Nothobranchius furzeri: one gene and its partner. Each later gene encodes a partner of the first gene's protein in a complex. Links are inferred from orthologs where the notes say so. Each region holds a gene or a part of one and is shown in the gene's direction. Other genes may lie near its edges. The genes, in order: ncaph and smc2.

What was found.
Region 2: ncaph (region 1) and smc2 share a complex: the UniProt entries of both Homo sapiens proteins name them as parts of the condensin complex. The link is inferred for Nothobranchius furzeri from reciprocal best matches to the Homo sapiens genes NCAPH and SMC2.

Annotation. Positions count from the first base shown.
Region 1 is NC_091757.1:27,697,338-27,701,161, forward strand, and holds part of ncaph (condensin complex subunit 2), read left to right. Parts: intron 1-941; coding exon 942-1,048; intron 1,049-1,244; coding exon 1,245-1,364; intron 1,365-1,975; coding exon 1,976-2,083; intron 2,084-2,277; coding exon 2,278-2,424; intron 2,425-2,575; coding exon 2,576-2,686; intron 2,687-2,808; coding exon 2,809-2,888; intron 2,889-3,062; coding exon 3,063-3,138; intron 3,139-3,544; coding exon 3,545-3,604; 3' UTR 3,605-3,824. UniProt on the Homo sapiens protein: Regulatory subunit of the condensin complex, a complex required for conversion of interphase chromatin into mitotic-like condense chromosomes.
Region 2 is NC_091747.1:76,184,727-76,188,550, forward strand, and holds part of smc2 (structural maintenance of chromosomes protein 2), read left to right. Parts: intron 1-11; coding exon 12-136; intron 137-219; coding exon 220-413; intron 414-512; coding exon 513-656; intron 657-3,824. UniProt on the Homo sapiens protein: Central component of the condensin complex, a complex required for conversion of interphase chromatin into mitotic-like condense chromosomes.

The DNA of each region.
Region 1 (3,824 bases):
AGCTCAGTAGTAAAAAGTGATGGACTGTATGGTAGCGCTGATGCCTCACAGTGAAAAGGTCACAGGTTCGACTCCCAGCTGCAGCATTTCTGTGTGGAGTCAGCATGTTCTCTGTCTCTGTGGATTCCCCGGGTTCCTCCCACAGACCCAAAACAATTAGGTTACCTGGAGACTCTACACTGCCCCTAGGAGTGAGTGGATACCTGTGTCTGAGTGTCTCTGTGAGAGACTGGAGACCTGTCCAGGATGCCCCCCTCACACACACACACACACACTTACACTCTGCAGGCAAAAGTGCATCTTAGTTTTCTCCCCACGTGTGAGCCGTCCGTGTGTGTTCATGACCGTCTGAACAGTACAGACCTGACCCAGGTCACTTTCATGTGTGGTCCTGCATCTGATGTTTTTGAAAGTGACGAGCCTGAACGTTACATCCATCATACGTCACTGACCCGGTGACCATGAGAATCGTGTGTTTGCATTCTTCAGTGGAGGAGCTGGCAGTTATTCAGGGGTCTGTTGTGGATGAATGAGAACCCCGCCACACCTCAGCACAGCGACAGCTGCAGCTCCACTGAAGGCTGTTGTTCTCATTGTCCTTTCTCTAATTAATTAGTTAAAGTGTGTTTGGCATTTCCCACACAGCTGGAGACGAACAGCATCTGTAGCACTTCTGTAAACGAAGCACATCCGGCCTTCTGCACATGCGGGTCTCTTTAGGGCCGTGACACGTTCAGTGTAAATGCAGCCTTACACACCACGTCCCTGCTAACAGAGGTGGAGACAACACATTCACTCATAAATACACTTTTACTTTGACACTGGACACGTCTGCTGTTTGTCTCTGTGTGTAAAGAGTAGTCCTGGTTACTTCTGTGGGTCATGAACGGCTCTCCCATCGGAGACAGCTGTGTGGAGTAACCATGTCTCATCTGCTGCAGTGGATCACATGCCTGACAAGGAGACACGCAAGAGGAAGCCTAAGAAGATCTATGAAATGGATTTTAACGATGATGTCGACTTTGATACTTTCTTCCGCACCACGCGGGTAAAGACCTTTGACCCTTCTTACTTCCTGTACAGTTTAGACGCCTTTACTCTGTTCTTGATGATGATATCTGGTGTTTTTCATCAGGCTGTGATGCAGCTGCTGTCCTGATGACTGTAGCCATGTCAGCCACAAGCATGATTACTGGTATCAGATTTAAAGAAGAAATGCTGACATTTCCTCTTTCTCCTCACAGGCAGCCACCACTAACAGCAAATCAGCCCTCAGCGCCTGCAGCAAAAAAACCACTCTGCCGGCCAGTTTCCAGTTCCCCCCAGAGACACTGTCCCAGCTCAGCCTCAAACCCTCCAGCTCGGTGAGACCTGCTGGTTCTGGCTAAGTAAACACCAGAAATGATGGTGTTAGGAAGTCCACCTAAGAGCCTGCTGCAGGGCGGGTGTGCATCTTTGGTTCTGCCACAAATGGTACAGTGATCCCTCGTTTACCGCGGTAGATGCGTTCCAGACCTGGCCGCGACAGGTGAACATCCGCCAAGTAGGGACACCATATTTACAGTATTTATTTAACAGGTACGTACAGTATTCAGACTTTTAAAACCCTCCCTTTACATAGTACTGTTAACAAACCACCCTTTAATGTACATTTTATGATGAAATTGATGAAAAAAAAAACAGGAATTTCTTGATATTTCGCATAGAAAAATACCGCGAATTGGCGAATTTCCCTTGAATAAGGCTCCAAAGAAAAAATCCGCGATAAACGAACCGCGAAGTAGCGAGGGATCACTGTACTGGTACCAGTGTGTGTTTGCATGCAGAGTTGGGGATAACCATCAGTGGAAACTGGAGAGGCTTTTTCTCCCAGAACATTTCAGGAATCTTCTCTGGCATCCCAGACAGCAGATGGGCTGCTGTAGGCCTGTGATGGTGGTATGTCACTAGTTATGTTTCTTCTGTCCCACATTAGTTGTGTCAAGAGAGTGAACGGAGGCTGTCTGGGGAGCTGGGAGAAGGCATCGGTGATTATGATTACAACAACGCCAACGATACCATCAACTTCTGCCCAGGGCTCCAGGTCTGACGCTCGCCTTCTGATTCCTTTCGTCAGTTTAGTCTTTACTGTAGCAGACCTGGTGACATGGTCAAATGATGTGCTGGTCCCTGCGGGGAGGTTGCTGCAGCAGCATTTGGGTTTTCCCGTTTGATGCCTGCTGCTTGTGCAGAACCCGGTGTGACAGATGTGCCTCCATGGGCTGGCTCTTCTTTTAGGACGGTGACAGTGACGATGATGATGTGAATGCATTTGCTGCTTCAGGCGATGCTCCGCCTCCAGGTGAGGGAATTCCATTGCCGTCTGAAGACCCAGCGGGTGTGTCCACATACAGGGAGGAGGATCTGGTACCAGAACCACACAGGGTGGGTAAAGCTGTGATATCTTCAATACAGAAGAAAATAGTAAATGAAGAAACCAAAGCTGCTGATTACTCCTCGTTAAATGTTAATTTAATAACAGTTTTGCCCTTGAATGAAACAGGAAACATTTGATTAGCTGTTTTTGCTTGTTTAGGTGAACAAAATTGAAATCAACTATGCCAAGATGGCAAAGAAAATGGACATGAGGAGACTCAAAAACAGCATGTGGACTCTTCTGACTGAAAGTCCAGAGAAACAGACGGAGGTAGGTAACTCCGTGTTAAGGTCATTCAGTTGGAAGGATGGAGGGGAGTGGAGGCCCCGCGCAGGTCCGGCTGATCCTGTGGGTTCAGGTCTGTTTTATCGGTTCTGCCTTCATGTTCTCAGCAGGTGAAGGAGACCGCAGAGGCACCAGAAGTGTGTGGAGAAAAAGTCTTCAGTCAGACCACGAAGAACCTGCTTCAAAGGTAGCAGCCTCCCTCCTGTTGCTGCTGCTTAAGAGGAATAATGACCACCAGCAGCCTCGTGCTGCGTGAAAATCACAAAGAACTGACGAGTGTTTCTCGTCTCTTGTAATCATGGAAGTTAAAACTTAATGTTTCCACATTTGTTCTCTTCTCTGTCTGATTGTTTGGGTCCAGATTGCCGAGTATGTTGGCTCAGAACCTGTCCGTGCCGCTGGCGTTTGTAGCTCTGCTTCATCTGGCCAATGAGAAGGTGAGGGTTGTTAAAACGTGGACTGGTGGTCAATACACACACCAGAATAAAGTATTGATGCACTCTGACATAATCAGTTCTGTCTTTGGTGCCGGAGATCTTTGTGAGAACCCACTGTCAGCTACAGGGGTTCAAGCTTCTGTATTTTTATCAAAAACCAGCTGAGATGCAGCTTGTAGTTTTAGTTCAGTGAAGCGCTGATGGAGGATTTTTATCGCTTTGGACAGCAGACCGCTGGACTGTCCAGCGTGTGCTGCTGGTGAGTGCTATAACACCCAACACACACTCTGGTCAACAGATCTGCTCATGAAGAACTCAGAACACCAAAGGCCTGAATTAACTCCAACCGCATCGTCAACAATGCACCTTACACGTGTGTGTGTGTGTGTGTGTGTGTGTGTAACAGAATTTGGAGCTGGTGAAGGTTGACGACATGTCTGATATCATCATCAGACAAGGCCAATGAGGAGGTCAACGGCAGAAGATTCAGATTTTCTTTGTCATGTTTTACTTCACGTCTGTTTTCTCACCCTTTACAGTGTTTACGTGAGAAGAAAGGAATATTCTTCTGTTCTTTAAAGTAGCACACGACTTTGTTCTGTACTCACATTTTACAAAAATAGATGTCAGAAGAAATGTTTTTTAATAAACCTGGTGGATATTTAATTTCTTCAATACGAAGCTTT
Region 2 (3,824 bases), on another chromosome or scaffold:
GCTCCCTGCAGGTACCGACAGCTGAAGCAGGAGCACGAGCTCAAAGCGGAGGAGGAACAGATCCTGCTGGCTAAAGTGCAGCAGAGCTCCTTCCACCAGCAGCAAGAGGAGCTGGAGAGGCTTCGCAAAGCCATCGGTTAGCGCTCAAAGTTTTCTCCTTGGCTGAAATACTCTGGATGGTTTTGTGCTAAAGAAATGTGTGTGTGTTTGTCTGACCAGAGGAGAGCGAAGAGACCTTACGAGTCACCAAAGAGGTCCAGAAGCGGGCCGAGGAGAAATACAAGGTGCTGGAGAACAAAATGAGAAACGCCGAGGCTGAGAGGGAGAAGGAGCTGAAGGCCGCCCAGCAGAAACTCAACGCAGCCAAGACCAAAGCTGATGCCTTCAGTACCAAGTTAAAGCAGAAACAGCAGGTGTGATGGTGGAATATTTAAAAAGTCTCATCTGAAGGATCTGGTGTCCATCGTGTCTTGATACATGTTGAGTATTCTCTGATCTGTGTTCTTGCTCAGGAGTCTGATGCTGTGGCTCTGGAGCTGGAGGAGCTGCAGCGGGAGCAGGCGGGTTACGAGCAGCAGATCCAGGCTGTAGACGAGGCCACGAAGGCCATCCAAGAGCAGATAGACAGCATGGCCTGCACCGTGTCGCAGAACAAGGTGTGTGTGTGTGTGTGTGTCTGACTCCACAGTGACTGCGAACATATTCAGTTGTTTTTGTTAGTAGATCACTTCAACAATGAAAATATTCTGACTATCATTAGCCAAACATTTCTGTTCAAGCTAACCTGCACCCATTAGCTGCAAGGTTTTATCTGAATGCAAAGCAGGATGTTGAAATAAGTCATCAACTTCCTGATGGCAATCCTATTTAGAAAACGGATAGCTTTTGTAGACATTTTGTCTCACAGATAAATGTGAAAGTTTTTGAATAAGATAAACAAGCAAAAATGAAATTTCTGCATGAGGATTAAAATTAATAATGGTTCAGCATCCTGTTACTCTTTCTAATTTATTACTTGGTGCTGTTACTTATGTTTTTTACTTTATTTTATTTAAAACTTTATGTTCTACTTCCTGCTTTATTTAAAGTTAGGGTTGGATCTTCTTGAAACATCTCCAGATTAGACCTGGGACGATAACAAATTTTGCTTGATGATTTACTGTATTGTCCAAAAGAGAAATTTGACGATTAACAATATTATTGTAGACATTATCAAGACCAAAACAACTTATTTAATGTTAATATATCATAATAATTAGGGCTGTAAGAAAATATTGATATGACAATATGTTGTGATATTTTTTCCAGCGATATTATATCGATATTTAAAGCCGTTTATCAAATTTCTGGAAGAATTGACATGTAAACGTTTGTGTATTTTTTTTCTTTTGGTGCAATTCAAACACCGACCACCAGTGGGCAATGGTGTGCAATGGGATTAGTTTCCACTGTTGAAATACAAATCTGTTATGGTTCAGATACCTCGTGTTAAAGACGTTAAGTATTAGTTTGGACTGTTGATTGAATCTTCTTACAATAAATAAATCAATAATAACGTCTGACTGAATGTATCGCAATATATTGTGATATATTGTATCGTCTCCCCTGTATCGCGATACGTATCATATCGCCATTTCACTCAGTTAGAAAATATTGCACCAAAAACATGAAAATAGACCGTTTTTTTTTTCTCTCAAAACAATACAGGTGCTGGCCAGTAAATTAGAATATCATCAAAAGGTTGAAAATATTTCAGTAATTCCATTCAAAACGTGAAACTTGTACATTATATTCATGCAATGCACACAGACCAATGTATTTCCAATGTTCATTACATTTAAATTTGATATTCATAAGTGACAACTAATGAAAACTCCAACTTTGGTATCTCAAAAAATTAGAATATTCTGAAAAGGCTGAATATAGAAGACACCTGCTGCCACTCTAATCAGCTGATTTACTCAAAACACCTGCAAAGGCCTTTAAAAGGTCCCTCAGTCTTGTTTTGACGGCACCACAATCATGGGGAAGACTTCTGACTTAACAGCTGTCCAAAAGACAATCATTGACACCTTGCACAAGGAGGGCAAGACACAAAAGGTGATTGCTAAAGAAGCTGGCTGTTCGCAGAGCTCTGTGTCCAAGCACATTAACAGACAGGCGAAGGGACGGAAAAAATGTGGTAGAAAAAAGTGTACAAGCTCTAGGGATAACCGCACCCTGCAGAGAATTGTGACGACATACCCATTCAAAAATGTGGGGGAGATCCACAAAGAGTGGACTGCAGCTGGAGTCAGCGCTTCAAGAACCACCACGAGGAGACTCATGAAAGACATGGGATTCAGGTGTCGCATTCCGTGTGTCAAGCCACTCTTGAACAAGAAACAGCGCAAGAAGCGTCTCGCCTGGGCCAAGGACAAAAAGGACTGGACTGATGCTGAGTGGTCCAAAGTTATGTTTTCTGATGAAAGCAAGTTCTGCATTTCCTTTGGAAATCAAGGACCCAGAGTCTGGAGGAAGAGCGGAGAAGCACAGAATCCACGTTGCATGAGGTCCAGTGTAAAGTTTCCACCGTCAGTGATGGTGTGGGGTGCCATGTCATCTGCCGGTGTTGGCCCACTCTGTTTCCTGAGGTCCAGGGTCAATGCAGCCGTCTACCAGGAAGTTTTAGAGCACTTCATGCTTCCTGCTGCTGACCAACTTTATGGGGATGCAGACTTCACCTTTCAACAGGACTTGGCACCTGCACACAGTGCCAAAACCACCAGCACCTGGTTCAAGGACCATGGTATCCCTGTCCTTGATTGGCCAGCAAACTCGCCTGACCTTAACCCCATAGAAAATCTATGGGGTATTGTGAAGCGGAGGATGCAATACGCTAGACCCAACAATGCAGAGGAGCTGAAGACGACTATCAGAGCAACCTGGGCTCTCATAACACCTGAGCAGTGCCACAGACTGATCGAGTCCATGCCACGCCGCATTACTGCAGTTATTGAGGCAAAAGGAGCCCCGACTAAGTATTGAGTGCTATACATGCACATTCTTTTCATGTTCATTCTTTTCAGTTGGCCAACATTAGAGAAACAAACATTTTTTCATTGGCCTTTAGAATATTCTAATTTTCTGAGATACCAGATTTGATGTTTTCATTGGTTGTCACCTATAAATATCAAAATTAAACGTAATAAACATTGGAAATACATTGGTCTGTGTGCATTGCATGAATATAATGTACAAGTTTCACGTTTTGAATGGAATTACTGAAATATTTTCAACCTTTTGATGATATTCTAATTTACTGGCCAGCACCTGTACATACAATGTGTCAGCAACCCAAAACTGCACTTCAATAATAATAATAGTTTTCTTAACCTCGATATATGAGGCTGGAAAAATTGAGTACTTCATTTTCATCTGCCGTATGATTTACTGGTTATCGTCCCAGCCCTATTCCAGATTAAACTGGTCTGTTCTTCACACAGCTCAGGTTGTTTGTGTTCCAAAGCTTTAATCTCTAGAAATGAGTCAGATTAGCCGTTTGTGTCTGCTCTGTCTGAACAGCCAGTTAAAGAGTAAGTCACCCCCTACAAGAAACTTACTTAACTCCCTCTTCATGTTTGAAAAATGCAACAAATGCTGTTGCCTGGCAGACAGAGAGGGCGGAGCCACTAACCAATACACACACAGGCTCACAACGGCATTGTGACATCATAATGTACCAGTTTACATCATAGCATACCTCTTAGCCAATAGCGGTGGCAGATTTAAATTCTAATACAGTGCAGAGTCTTTACCTGACAACGGCGCAACACTGACAGTTT